Macaca mulatta: one gene and its partner. The protein of the gene in region 2 interacts with the protein of the main gene of each other region in a biochemical or structural test. Links are inferred from orthologs where the notes say so. Each region holds a gene or a part of one and is shown on either strand. Other genes may lie near its edges. The genes, in order: ATOX1 and ATP7B.

The links.
Region 1: the proteins of ATP7B (region 2) and ATOX1 form a complex in vitro, tested with the Homo sapiens proteins (3 studies listed by BioGRID and IntAct). The link is inferred for Macaca mulatta from reciprocal best matches to the Homo sapiens genes ATP7B and ATOX1.

The regions. Positions count from the first base shown.
Region 1 is NC_133411.1:160,686,999-160,694,837, forward strand, and holds the start of ATOX1 (copper transport protein ATOX1), read right to left. Parts: upstream 5,091-7,839; 5' UTR 5,010-5,090; coding exon 5,004-5,009; intron 1-5,003. UniProt on the Homo sapiens protein: Binds and deliver cytosolic copper to the copper ATPase proteins. May be important in cellular antioxidant defense.
Region 2 is NC_133422.1:31,167,402-31,174,733, forward strand, and holds the end of ATP7B (copper-transporting ATPase 2), read right to left. Parts: intron 6,677-7,332; coding exon 6,534-6,676; intron 5,184-6,533; coding exon 4,980-5,183; intron 4,898-4,979; coding exon 4,780-4,897; intron 3,198-4,779; coding exon 3,095-3,197; intron 2,530-3,094; coding exon 2,256-2,529; 3' UTR 211-2,255; downstream 1-210. UniProt on the Homo sapiens protein: Copper ion transmembrane transporter involved in the export of copper out of the cells. It is involved in copper homeostasis in the liver, where it ensures the efflux of copper from hepatocytes into the bile in response to copper overload.

The DNA of each region.
Region 1 (7,839 bases), on a different chromosome or scaffold from region 2:
CTAACAAGCATGTGAGTGAGCCATCTCGAAACTGGATTCTGCAGCTCCAGTCAAGTCTTCAGATGAATGCAGCTCCAGCTAACATCTCACTCCAACTTTATGAGAGCCTCTGAGCTGGAGCCACTAGGCCAAGCTGTTCCCAAATTCCTGAGTCTCAGAAACTGTGTGAATTACTATAAATATATTTGTTGTTTACTACAAAGTTTTGGGATAATTACTAAGGAGAAACAGATAACTAATACATTAAGGAAATTAGAGCCTAGTACTAGGTTCCATTGGGTAAAAAATTAGCTATTGGGTTGGGCCGGGCGCGGTGGCTCAAGCCTGTAATCCCAGCACTTTGGGAGGCCGAGACGGGCGGATCACAAGGTCAGGAGATCGAGACCATCCTGGTTAACACGGTGAAACCCCGTCTCTACTAAAAAATACAAAAAACTAGCCGGCCGAGGTGGCGGGCGCCTGTAGTCCCAGCTACTCGGGAGGCTGAGGCAGGAGAATGGCGTGAACCCGGGAGGCGGAGCTTGCAGTGAGCTGAGATCCGGCCACTGCACTCCAGCCTGGGTGACAGCACGAGACTCCGTCTCAAAAAAAAAAAAAAAAAAAATTAGCTATTGGGTTATTATTAATTTCTTCCATTTGTCTCTCCTGTTTCCCTTCAAAAATCAATGGCTACATTTTTCACGGAGCACTTCAAAATATTTCAAGTCTATTACCTCAATTGGAATTCTGGGTGTAGCGATATATCTTGCTAGAAAATCACAGGCAAAATCTCTGCTCCAGAAGGGCTCTAGTTCCCTAATCTATACCAAAAGGGTATTAGCTAACTCAGTTTTTTTTCAACTTCAGCATGCATAGGAAGAATCTGGGGACCTTGTGTAAAGTGCAGCTCCCAGACACCTGCCTCAACTGGCTCTGTGGATGTGGAGCAGGCCCTGCCACTCCCCATTTTTAACCTACTGGGGAGAGACAGGGAGGCAAAACTACAAACCTGAAAATAAAGTGACTAAGTGGCTTCTCAAACTCTTTCTAAGTCTCTAAACACCTCTGAGTCTGGATTGTCATTGTGCTCTACAGAGGAAACCAAGACCAAGAGTTAAGCAGCTCGATTTTCCAGTGTAGACTGTATGACCTTTGTGACTAGTAAACTACTACTTTTATTAAGGCCAAATCTGCAAAGTCTGCCTTAAAGAAAATGGTCAGTCTTTCTTCTAAACATCTCTGATTTTTTCATCGTTTCATGACTATTCAAAGACAGCAACAATAACAAATTCTGGAAAGAATGATTTGTAGTAGGTATTACAAAATCTTGTGTTTAAAATGTGGTCCTCAACCGAACAATACGATCATCACCTGACAGCCTGCCAGAAATGCACAATCTCAGGTCCCTTCCCAGAAGTCCGGAATCAGAATCCTCATTTTAACAAGACACCCAAGTCATTCCTGCCCACATTACAGTTGAGATGATGCTCTCCTCTATTAAAAAATTTTTTAGGCAGGGCAATGTGGCTCATGCCTATAATCTCAACACTTTGGGAGGCTGAGGCAGGCAGATCACCTGAGGTCAGGAGTTCGAGACCAGTCAGGCCAACATGGTAAAACCTGTCTCTCTACTAAAAATAGAAAAAAATTAGCCAGGCATAATGGCAGGTGCCTGTAATCCCAGCTACTTGGGAGGCTGAGGCAGGAGAATAGCTGGAACCCAGAAGGCGGAGGCTGCAGTGAGCCAAGATCATGCCACTGCACTCCAGCCTGGGCAACAGAGCAGGACTCTGTCTCAAAATAAATAAATAAATAAAAATCTAAAGGCTGGGTGCAGTGGCTTACACCTGTAATCCCAACACTTTGGGAGGCTGAAATGGGAGGATCACTTGAACCCAGGATTTTGAGACTAGCCTGGGCAATACAGTGAGATCATGGCTCCATTTAATTTAAAACAAAAAAAAAATGTTTTGCAAAAAAAAAAAAAAAATGATGATGCTCTAGAACATGGATTGGCACAATACAAGCTACCTGTTTTACAAGGTAAAAGGTTTTGTTAAAACATAGCCAAACTGAGGCCAGGTGTGGTGGCTCATGCCTGTAATCCCAGCACTTTGGGAGGCAGAGGCAGGAGGATCATGAGGTCAAGAGATCGAGACCATTCTGGCCAACATGGTGAAACCCCGTCTCTACTAAAAATACAAAAATTAGCTGGTAGCGGTGGCGTGCGCCTGTAATCTCAGCTACTCAGGAGGCTGAGGCAGGAGAATCACTTGACCTGGGAGGCGGAGGTTACAGTGAGCCGAGATCATGCCACTGCACTCCAGCCTGGCGAGAGAGCAACACTCTGTCTCAAAAAAAAAAAAAAAAAAAGAATCAAAAACAAAAAACCATAGCCAAACTCACTTGTTTACTTTTGCACTAGAATGGCAGGGTTGAGTAGTTGTACCAGAGATCCTGTGGTTTGTGAAGACTAAAATGTTTACTATCTGGGCCTTGTAAAAAAAAATTTGCTGAGTCTTGCTCTAGGATAACCAGCAGAAAATTGATTAATCAATGGTTTGCACTTATATACTGAGCCAAAGTTTGGAAGGGTTTGCAAGATCAACCTAAGAGCTAAATCTACTGATTGTCTATTATATGTCAAATTGTCTTTATACAGTATCTAAGCTAGTCCTCACTGAGCCTGGAAAGAAAGCTATTTATCTTATTTCACTCAGGAGGAAAGTGAAGTTCCCAAGAGTTCACTAAGTGGCCTGCAGTCATGTGGCAAATACCTACTGAGTATGGAATATGAACCTAGGCTTTCTTCGCTCCAGGGAAATCCTGCTCGTTCTGGAATAGCAAAGTACACCACCAGCTCTCATAACCGTGACTCTCAGCAGAAGCTCCGAAACTAGAAATACATTTTTAGGGAGCACAGTTTTTTGCTGCCCAAGGACCTGAAGTCAACAAATACCTGAAACTTTCAGTTGCTGATTATAGGGAGTAGGTCCCATCCCCTACAGTATAAAGGTCAGAAGTCAGAAATCAGCTGCTGGGTATAAACATTACAGTTCAGTGCTCTCCTCCTCCACCTCTGAGGGGCAAAAATAAATTTGAGGGTGATGGAAAAACTATTTCATGGACAGAGTAATCACTTCTTTATAGGAGAAGCTCAAGATTGGCTCTACCACCGGATGCATAACTGGGTAGTTCTGGTTCCTCAAGGCCTCTGGGGTCTTTCATAAAGACTTATAAAATGGGTAGATTTTAAAGTAGGTTTTAAAAGTCAGTAAGTGGGGGCCGGGCACAGTGGCTCATGCCTGTAATCCCAGCACCTTGGGAGGCCGAGGCAGGCAGATCACAAGGTCAGGAGATCAAGACCATCCTGGCTAACATGGTGAAACCCGTCAGTACCAAAAATACAAAAAAAAATTAGCTGGGCGTGGTGGCTGGTGCCTGTAGTCCCAGCTACTCAGGAGGCTGAGGCAGCATGACGTGAACCCGGGAGGCGGAGCTTGCAGTGAGCCAAGATCAGCCTGGGCGAAGTAAGTGGGACGATTTTTTTTTCTTTTTTTGAGACGGAGTCTCGCATTGTCTCCCAGTATATATACATATTAACATATATATATGTTTTTTTCTTCCCTTTCCAGTTTTAAGGCAGTCCCTTGACTAACACCCTCCTTCCTTCAGCTGCTCATCTTGTGGTACATGGTGCCAAGCGCCCTCCTCATTCCCATCATTTGCTCCAGAGGGTCTTTTGTCAAAATCCCCAGAAGATACAGAATACACTGATGATCAAGCTGGACTTTTCCTCACTGCCACCCCCCACAAAAAATCCTGGTGACCTTCACTCTCTAAGTCCCAGGGAGATTAATACTGTCTTCTACCATTGCCACAGGCTGACTTGCTCAACTGGTAGGGCTGATTCTGTCAGATTCCTTATCCATACTTTGTTGTTGGAGGATTTGTCTCAAGGCACCTGGCAAGGTCCAAGGGAAATGACACCTGAGATGTTAGTGGCTCTGCCCAGGGGGCGTCAGGCTCACCTGTCAGCTCCCAAAGGACAGGCTGCTAAGACACATGGCATCTGTGGGATACCTCTTGATATCCACCTGGCCCAGAGCCATGAATTACGCACCTCGAAGAAAATGCTAAACACCACATGACCCTAACCAAGATGCAACTGAGATCAGAGCATCTTCCCAAGCCGGTATGACTGCTTTTGCCAGGCACCTCCGATGTGGTCAGGCCTGGAGAGATGGGGAGCCTAAGGATAAGGAGCTGAATCCTGGCTCTGCCAACTTCAACACGACCTGGAATAAGTTACTGGGTTTTTTATATTTTTATCTGTCAAAGCCCTCAATTCTTTTTTATATAAAAAACGAGACCACGAGCAACAATATACTGAGTGATCTGCAAAGGCAGGCTCAGACTGACTTCCCAGACTCTTGCCACTGAGCAACTGGTGACTTTGAGGGGGGTTCCTGAACCTCTCTGGGGCTTATGGGTTCAGGCTGACAAAGTGTCTCCATTCAGAGTCGCCCAGAGCTGATTTGAAAAGTAAGCCATAGTGGCAGGAAAATTTAGAAAAAATCATGAACCTCTGAAAACCTGCCCGGTCCGTGAGGGAATAACCGGGTCCATCCCCATGCCCAGAGCCTCCCGCCCTCCTTCAGGCCAGCTAAGCGGGCGGGGCAGCCAAGAGGAAGGCTCAGGGAGTAGGCGTCTCAGTTCCCGCTGGCCACCAACTCCCCGCGTCCTGCTGAGCGACCCCCTGCCCCCTCTCTGGGTCTGTTTCTCCGTGTACGCAGGAAAGGTGTGGGCTTGTCGCCCCTGGAGGCCTTCCAGCTCCGACGTTTTGAAGCCTGGCTCCTAGATTAAACTCCCTTCGGATCCCATTTTCTGAAGGGTCGCAAAAGCTGGGGGCTGGGTGGGGTAAGCTGAGCCCTTCAAGAGAAGCATCCGGTCAAGCTGTTGTGCAGCCAAGGAGGAACCCGGGGACTGCAAGTGTGCGTGGCGGGCACGGCGCAACCACTCACCGGCATAACTAAGGCAGCGGCAGCGGGGCGGCGGTGGCAGCAGCGCCTCTGGGCTCGGAGGGCGGGTTCGGCTGCGCTTCCGAGAGTGCGTGCTAGAGGCACCTTCCCGGAAGCCCCACCCTCTCCGGGCCAGGTCGCGAGGGAGGCCCCGCCCCCTCCGGGCCTCAACCCTGCCGGCCGCACCGCCTCCTTTCCGCTGGCCGCGCTTATGGTCACCCGGCCTGGACGGAGAGAGGAGGTGAGAGGAGCGCTGCGTTGGCCTCCATCGACTGTCGGCCTTTTTCAGAACGCCTACTTCGGGTCAAGCTTGTGTTAGGGAATACCAGAAAAGGGCACCGCCTTGAATAGGACAGATTCATCCATCCCTAAAAGGACAGTTTCACTCATTTATTCACCGAGTCAATGTCTATTGAGCGCCAGCCAACGAGGACGCAGCGGTGTAAAAGATGTAGCAGGAGGCTGCGAAGGACGCAAGCAGTGATAGTGCCGGGTTAGCAGAGCTGTCGTGGCAGAGGAGGAAGGGCCCTGACTGCAGTGGGGTGGGGGTGGTTGTGGAAGAGAGGCGGCCTGGGGAGGAGGCAATAATCTGGACCTCAGTTAGCCTTTATCGCCCTATTACAGGCTCTGTCTCTAAATGCAGTCGCATTGGGGGTTAGGGTATCAACATAGGAATTTTGGGGAACACCATTCATGTCCATGTCAGAGTTCAGTCCCTAACAGAGCCATACTGACTAGAGTTTTAATCTCAGCTCTATCATTTACCAGCCGTGTGACCCTGGGCAGATGAACTTACCTCTCTAAGCCTCAATATCCTCACGTATAAGATGGGGACAGTTAAGGTGACTATACAATTTTTTTTATCTAAACCTTTTGCTAGAGAAAGGAGATGCTATTAATAATTTTGCCAGGACAACAGGCAAACACCATGACTGTTTCAGGCAAACAAGGACACATGGTTCCCTCCAGGAAACCTACTTTGTGGTATTGTTGGAATACGTGTAATGTATGCAGACTTCTAAGCACATTGCTTGGCACATGGTAGGCACCAAAATATATAAGTATTCTCTAATTGCTAGGCCCTCGGTTGGCCTCCCTGGCACTGGGTTTTCCCCTGCTCACAAAATACCCCTTAACCATTCATCCCCTACCCAACCTGCCAGGAATTCCCTAAAGATGGAAGGGATGGGGGCGAGGAGGAGAGGGAAGGAGGGTGCTGGCACATTAGGTCCTGTAGAGGCAAGGCTTAGCATCTTGGTAGTCCTGGGTGCAACTTTACACTGGGGCTAGGGATAGCCAGATTGCCATGAGGGAAGGTGGAGGGTGGCCATGAGGGAACGAAATCCTTCCCAAAGGCAACAGTGCACAGGGCGAGCCACCCACGGCATGTTTTAGAGAATTAGGGGTAGGAGTTGGGGGTATGGCTAAGCCTAGAGACAGCAATTTAAAGAGAAGACAGCTTTATGAAGATCTGTTAAAGATCGCAAATAAAGGCCTATTAAAGAGAAGAAAATATGCCAGACTGTAGTTCCTGCATAAAGATATACATACATTCCGTGTATTTACATAAAAATAAGCCTGAAATCAACTACAGCCAATGTTACTAGAAGTTACCTTGGATAAGTGTAGGATTTGCAGGTGGAATCCCAATGTGCCTACTGTTTAATTTTCAAATAACACAAAGTAGCATACAGTGAAAAGTAGGTCTCCCTCCTACCCTGACCTCTCCTTCTTAAACAAAAGGCATACTATATGCAGTTTTGCACCCTGCTTTTCTCACTTTATAAAATATCTTAGAGGTTATTCCTGGGCCAGGTGCAGTGGCTCATACTTCTAATCCCATTGCTTTAAGAGGCCCAGGTGGGAGGATCACTTAACCCCAGGAGTTTAAGACCAGACTAGCAACATGGTGAAACCCCAGCTCTACAAAAAACACAAAAATTAGCCAGGTGTGGTGGCATATGCCTGTGGTCCCAGCTACTCAGGAGACTGAGGTGGGAGCATCACTTGAGCTTAGGAGGTCAAGGCTGCACTGAGCTATAATTACACCACTGCACTCCAGCCTGGGTGACAGAATGTGACCCTGTATTTTAAAAAAAGAAAAGAAAAGAAAAAGAAAAAAAAGATTATTCCTTAACAGTACATATCAATCCTTTTCTTTCTTGCCTTTTTTTTTTTTTTTCCTCTTCGAGATGGAGTCTTGCTCTGTCGCCCAGGCTGGAGTGCAGTGACGCAATCTTTGCTCACTGAAACGTCTGCCTCCTGGGTTCAAGCAATTCTCCTGCTTCAGCCTCCCAAGTAGCTGGGATGATAGGCGTGCACCACCCTGCCCGGCTAATTTTTGTATTTTTAGTAGAGACAAGGTTTCACCATGTTGGCCAGGCTGGTCTCGAACCAGCCTGACCTTGTTGGCCAGACCTTGTGATCCGCCCACCTTGGCCTCCCAAAGTGCTGAGATTATAGGCAATGAGCCATCTCTAAGCCAATGAGCCTGGCAAATGGGCATATAGAATCCCTGCCCTTTCTGGCTGACAGTGTTGTTGTGAGGATAGGAATGTACGCACTGTAGGTATGTATAGATGGTGGGTTCCTCCTGGTATCATCTACCTCTAGACCCAGCCTCCTGGGATGACTCTTTCTTTGACAGATGCTGGGGAGTTTAATTCTTTGCAAAGAAAGGTTTTGTAGCTGCTTGTCTGCTCCCTGCTTTCCCCACCGCAGGAAACCAAGTGTCTGTTTGTTGTATGATAACGCAGGTATACACTATTTGCCTCACTGCTTTATCCATCAAGGAACCCCTTTATCTAGGACCAAAGATTCTGAGCTGAAAGGGCCCTCA
Region 2 (7,332 bases):
TGAGGCAGGCCTGCATTAGAGAAATGGACTTACACCAGTGCTGGGGATGGCAGATCAAGGGGGCTCTGCCCACCCTCATGTCCCCTGCTGTTAAAATCCCATCCTTCTCTGCCCCCTAAAAAGACATCAAGCCAAGCCAGTGCCTCACAGAAGCCCTCATGACGACAGGATGGCACTGGCCTCTGACCACGCATCTCACTCACAGGCAGATTTTGAGAGGAATGACAAGAACTTTATTCTAATATTGCATGAAATGTTTTTGAAGTAGAAATGGTTATCTGACAAAAAAATTCCTTACACTTTGACCATCTAAAAGGTTATTTTCTATAAAATTATATAAATATTTCCATGTCCATATAGGAACACAACGTTTATGGTCCTATAAGTTTTAAAAATCAACAGAATTAGATTCTTTAGATAATGATCAGCCTAGTCAGAAAACAACATTCCCCAAGCAAGCATAAAGAGAGGACACAGTTACTGACGGACAGCGGAAATGTGCTGCGGGCTGGAGTTGGGGGGCTGAAAACAATGAAAACACAATCACTGGGGAGCTTGGATTTTATAAAATAAAACCCCGCAAAAACTATATGTAAAAAGTGAAACTAACCATCCAAGGTGAAGGTCAGATGACCTCCTGAATGAATTGCATTCTGAGTTGAAACAATGAATAGATCACCTGGTAGATTCGTTCTTCCAGGAGGCAAGGACCTTTTCCTTGTTTATTCTTATCAGGAAAACTTCTATTCAAGGTAGAAGGACAATTAGAGTGAAGCCTTCACAGCTGACAGACACGGCTTGTCCACTGGCTATGTCATCCTGGGCAAAGTCCTCAGCCTCTTGGAGCCTGTTTCCTTGCCTGTAAAATGCGGACAGTAATAGCTACCTTGTTGGTTGGCTGGGAAGATTAGAGGTAATCTATCGAAAGTGCTGCTAAAACTGCCCCTGGCAAGTAATGGACACTGAAAAAAGTCACTAAAACTATTTTGTGTGGGAGAAAAGGGTTTCACCCAGAATTTAATCCAACATCTACTAGTTTGCTCCCAAGGGGTTCTGTCAATCACAACCAACTTCAGAGTCTAAAACTGGACCCCTTCTGCTGCTCTGAGAGCCACGGCCAGGTAAACAGATGCTCCCTTCGGGATGCTGTGGCCACTCCTTTCCTGAAGCCCCTGTGCGTGCAGAAGGCAGGCTCAAGGAGGCTGTGCTTTCCTCCTATTTGGGCAGTACCTAATCTCCAAGCCACACAAGGCCAGGTGCTAGTGACATGAATTCTCTATTGAACCCCATGAGGTGACAGTCACACAGAAGACTGAAAACGAAGCTCCTGGGGCCATGCAGGGAGGCTCCTGCACACACATGTCTCCCATGGGACAAACGTTTTGAGCACCACAGGCTGGGCAGGAATATGGAAGGACGTCCTGAATTGCGAGAACCTAGACCCCACAGGAAGCCAAGTCTGGACTCTCAGGTCAGCTGGTCAGCAACAACACTCTACTGAGAAGCCCCCACTCCATGGAGAAGGGGGCTTCAAACAAAAAAAGAACCCTCCTGGACCTGAAGAATGGTGTGGCAAGCTCCCTGACTGGGGATGTGCGAGCCAGGAAGCAGGTTCAAGCTGAAATGCACACTCCAGAGCACTGGAGAAGCGCCTGAGAGCAGCAGCAAGGACCACAAAGACACTGGTCTCGCCCTCCTAGGAGACAGGCAGGGTTCCAAGGGGTCCCCACGGACAAGCACACAGAAGAGAAAAGGAACAGACTGTGCAGGAAGAAAGCAGCAGGCACACCTGAGGTAAACTGTGGTCTCAGAAACATGATGCACACAGACAGGCGTCATCAGAAAGAGCCTGACAGTGAGGTCTGCCGTTCTCTGGAAAGGCCCAGTGAGGTTTTTTGGTCCTGATGAAACTGTTCTCCATTTCATAGCAGTCATCCTAAATACTCCAAGCAGAGGTTTGTGAGGAGGGTGACTCGCCTCTCACCTTCTACAGTACAGCCAAGGACTAGAGGCCAAGACAAAGCCCATCCTGACGGTTCAGTGACGCCAAGAGGCAGGCCAGGCCGTCCTCTCTAGGGCAAGGCCAGTTGCACTCAGACAAGACCACGTGCTGCAGGGCAGGATGACTGGACATATCCAGGGAGTGGAAGTCCCCAAAGCTGGAGGCTAGCTCAGCCCATCCTGCTGCTGGCTGTCCTGCTCAGCTTGTGGCGAGTGGAGGCAAGGCCCTGCCCTGGCCCGCCTGCCTGGTGCCATCAGATGTACTGCTCCTCATCCCTGTCATTCAGGAGCAGAGACCACTTGTCCCCACCATCGTCCGCTGCAGTGCTGTGCCGAGATGGCTTGTCGGATGTCAGGGAGGACAGCGACACCTGGCTGACATAGCTGACCTGGTCCCATGGTGTGGCCCTGGGGGAGTCCCGCCGCCTGTCATCCATGCCGATGTGCACACTGACCTGGGATGCTGTCAGGGGCTTCATGTGGCCATGCGCCTGTGCCTCATACCTCTCCAGGTCAGGCTTCTTATAGCTGGAAAGCAGGAAGGCAACAGCATCTGAGCCATTCTAGAAACAAGGCTCTTTTTTTTCTCAGCCTGGTGAAGGCCTCTCATCTATCTTTTAATAACATTTAGTACCAAAACCTCAAGAGATCCCAAGGAAAAGGATATTAAACTCCCTATGGTTCCAGGAAAGCTCACCTGATTTAGAAACTTCCTAAGCAAATGCCTTGCACATTGTAGGCTGCCACTCACTTTTGTTAAATGAATGCACTCATAAATAAGTGAACATCTTTTTTAAAGAAAAAAAATGATAGATAATACACAGGGACCCATGTCTGCTTGATGTTCACAGTAACAGCCCTTGAGCAGCAGAGTAAGGGCAGCCCAGCATGTGGATGGGCAGCAGTGAATTGCCTGCTCACGGTGCTGATAAGTTACACGCATGCACACCAGGCTCCACGTGGGCTGCCACTGCAGCGTTTGTCCCAGGTGAATGACTGGGGAATGAGAGGCAAGTTCCACTGTTCCCTGAGCGTGCAGAATGACAGGGCCTCCTGGGAGGCTCCAACAGATGCTCCGCCTGAGGGGACTCACCACTTGAGCTGCAGGGATGACAGCACCACAGACACAGAGGAGGCGGCCATGGCCGCTGAGCCCATCCAGGGCTGCAGCACAATGCCGATGGGCATGAAGACACCTGGGGAAGAAAGAATTCGCACTCGCACCTAGGCCTGGGGAGAGGAGCCAGGAGAGGGCCTCAGGCACCGGGCTGGCCCCACCCTCAGTGGCCCCCAGTGAGGTCTCCACCTGGCATGCTCGGAAGCCCCTGCCAATGGATCTTGTTCACAGGCCCCCCAAAGTGAGGCTTCCTAGAAAGCTGGGTGTGGGGTGCTGTCAAGCGGTCCTGGCTCTCTTCCATTTGCCCTGACATTCCCAGAACCACCCACAGGTGGCATCCCATTTCAGGGCGAGCTCCAGGGCAGCGACGAACCAGAGAGTGGGAGGAGCGGGAGGAGAAAAGTGGCAGGAGGTGAGGGAGCCAGCTGCCCATCCTGCAGCCACAGTACCACAGAGGACAAACATGGCTGATGGCCACAGCCCTTGTCTAGCAGATGACCTCGCCTCCAGGGCTTCATGACATCTTTAAAAGAGGAATGAGAGCCAGGTCCCAGGGCAGGGTCAGGAGACAGGTATGGTCAACTTTGTGTGACAGAGGCACACACACTGGGGGAATTAAGCTCCTGAGCCGGCTCTGGGGACAGGAAGTAAACCTGCCTAACTCACTGGGCTCAGGAGGCCAACACCCTGTTACACAAGTCACCACTAACCACTCAGACACAAGGGAGACTGAGGCAGGAATGCTGTGATTACAAACTTGATCTCTCCTCAGCCCATGGAGGGGCACTGCCTTACAGAAGGGTCTGGAACTTTTCACTGCCATGTTCCCAGGGGCAGGGAGCAGGGGGCAGGGGAGAGGCGTTTCTTGGGGAGGGGGAATGAGGGGGAATTACAAAGCAGAAAAATCTATTTCTTTTCTTTTTCTTTTTTCTGAGACAGGGTTTTACTCTTGCCCAGGCTAGAGTACAGTGGTACAATCATGGGTCACTGCCACCTCCAACTCCTGGGCTCAATAAATCCTCCTGCCCCAGCCTCTGTACTCCCAGATGGGACTAAGGTGTATGCTACCATGCCCAGCTAATTTTAAAATTTTTGTAGAGATGAAGTCTCACTATGTTGCCCAGGTGAGTCTTGAACCCCTGAGCTCAAATGGCCCTCCTGCCTCAGCCTCCCAAAGTGTTGGGATTACAGGCATGAGCTACCACGCCTGGCCAAAAAGCCATTTCTTTCCATGATCATTTGTGTAACTCAGAGTGAAACTTGGGCAGGACTAAAGTTCAGGATAAGGTTCTGAAACACCAATAATTGTGCCTAACATGTAGCAAATGCCCCATAATTCTTACTAGTGATTATTTCTCAGACTATATGTCTTAACAAATGGCTCTGAAAATAAGGCCACAGTAAAATAGGGCTCAGAAAATATAGCCAAGCATCTCCACTAGCTTTTTAGAAAGGAACAGAGTGAATGAAGTTTTCAGGTCCTCTTCACAGTTTCTCATTTACCTTTAAAGACATATAAAGCAGGGGACATAAAAAAAACCAGCCTTTCTAAAACATCTCTAGCCAGCCAGTGAGTGAGGCACTCACTAACCTCAGCAGAAACCTGGGAGACAGAAGCCTTTCTGGGCACAGCTGGAGTACAGTGGGTAAAAGCTGCCTACCTGCCGCAATGGGTATCCCAACCAGGTTATAAATCAGTGCCAGGACCAGGTTGATGCGTATCCTCCGGACAATCCTCTTGGAAAGGTGAATGCTAGCCACCACATCCAGCAAATCATTCTGATGGAGAGGAGCACACAGTGAGGAAGGTGTCTGCCCACCACCCTCCCAGTACCCACAGCCTGGCTGCAGCCGTGCTCACTCTGATGAGGACGACGTCGGCTGCCTCGATGGCCACATCCGTGCCGGTGCCAATGGCGACACCCATGTCTGCCTGAGCCAAGGCTGGGGAGTCATTGACCCCATCCCCCACCATGGCGACTCTCTTCCCTTCATTCTGGAGCTCCTGGACCTTGGCCACTTTGTGCGAAGGCAGCACCTCTGCAAAGACTTTGTTGATGCCAACCTAAGACAAAAGAAGGGCAATGCCTGGTGTTGGCAAAAGGTATCAGATAGCAGCAGAAGCCTCAAATTACCCTTGCCCCTCTGCCCTCAGCCTCTGGGTCCAGTCAGTGACGTTTGTCAGCCACACCCTGCAGGTTTGCTGTCACAGGGCCAGTTCATCCCTGGCTCCCGCCCCAACACCCTGTACTGGTTTAGGCCCTGTCCTTTTCTGGATGTGCAAACAACCCCCTTGCTGGTCTCCCTGTCCACAGCTCAGTACCCCAACTTTCTTCTCCATGTGCTGCACCCATGGTCTTCCCAAAGCATCTGTACGGCCATGGGTCCCTACTCTCCTGTCTCATGTCCTCCAGCAGACCCCATGCACCTCCCAGAGGAGGGCAGCTCAACTCTCAGGTCTGCTTCTGAGGTCCCCAGAGTCTCAGGGTCTGGCCGCTGGTGCCACACTTGACCACACCATTCAGCTCCCCGCAGTGTCTCCAAATCGCCGTGCTATTCTGTGCCCCTGGGAAATGCTCCTGCTGCCTGCTCTGTCCTGGAAAGGTGCAGTTTTCCTTTCCTAGCCCCTCTCCCGCTTCTCAGATATACACCGTCACTGGTCCGCCTTCTTGCAAGACTGTGAGCCGAGCCCCCTTCATTCCTCACAGAGCCTGGCCCCGCACCTGCCTGTCACATTCGTGGTGCTTCGTAAGTGCCTGCTGAATGGATGAACAAGTGTTAGCCAGAAAAGGGGGGAAGGACGCTAAACAGGTCCACCATTAGCAAGGAGGACCATGGAAAACAGGGGTATTGCTGCTTCCCTCAAGGAACACAATTAAGCTTTCAGAAGCCTAGAGCTCTGCACACATTTGGAGGTGCATAATTTCTAGGAATCCAAACTGGAGCCACTGCTGTGTGAGGAGTCAGGCAGCCATCCAGTGGTACTGTCCTCACAGGCCAAACAGCCTCAGGGGCTGCTGGAGAACTGCCCAGGACTGAATCACTTATCTGAGCACCCGAGTGAGAAGAGCTGAGCTGGCAAAATCTTCCTTTAACATAAAGGTTAGAAAATGTCTATCTTAGCCCTTAAGCCACATACTTTTTTTCCATTGCCAAGACTGGGAAAAGGTTAGAGAACAATGGAACTCCTTTTTCGAGGATGCATGCACCCAAACCCCAGGAAGAGATCTTCACACGGCACCACAGTGCTCACGTGTGACACTACGTAGCCACAGAATGAAGCACGTGGAGAGAAAAGCATCCAGAGAGGGGGAAAGAGCAGGAGTACAGTTCAGTGCTGGGCCAACTGGTGCTTACTTTTGTCTCTAACTGCTTTTATGAGCTTTACGCAGTTTGCAATATTAAAGGGCTGTACCTGGGTGGCAATGGCTCTGGCTGTCTTCCGGTTGTCCCCGGTGATCAGAACCACGTCCACACCCATGCTTTGCAGCGTGTGCACAGCCAGGGCGGCCTCCTGCTTGACAGCGTCTGCGATAGCAATCATCCCACAGAGCACACCTGGAGTGAACCAGCCGGCATCAGCAGCTACACAGGATGGGCACCCCGCATCAAGACACCACACTTGCAATGTTCTCATCATATAATGTTACGTGCAAAAACCAAAACGCCAAATTATATAACACAATGGGGTTTTTTTGCTTTTTAAAAAGTACATGCATTTACAGACATACAGAAAAGTCTGGAAGCAATATAATTAAAATCTTCACAGTGACTCCCCGAGGAATAGGATTATGAGTGATTTCATTTTCTCCTTTATAGCTGAATTTTCCAAACTTTCTGCAAGGAGCATGTATGACACTTTGCAAAGTGCCTGGCTTGTAATAAGAATTCAATACACGTTAGCAACTAAAATTCAAGAAATATAACAGATATCACTTAAAGTGATAAATGTCCAAACTAGAAAATCAATCCTTCTTTGTCTTTTCCTATAGAAAACATTTTGGCAGAATTTCTCTTTGAGTGAATCTTTAGCTATAGAAGCAGGAGGGTTTTTAGGGCTGAGGTGTGAATGAGAACACAGTGAGGGATGACATACGAGATGGCACGACTCCTTTACTTGTGCCAATTCTGGTTTGACAGCCGAGGGGAGGGTGGATTTACAAAGACTTACAAAAAGGGAAAAAAAGGAGAGAATGTGAGAGGAAGACATATTT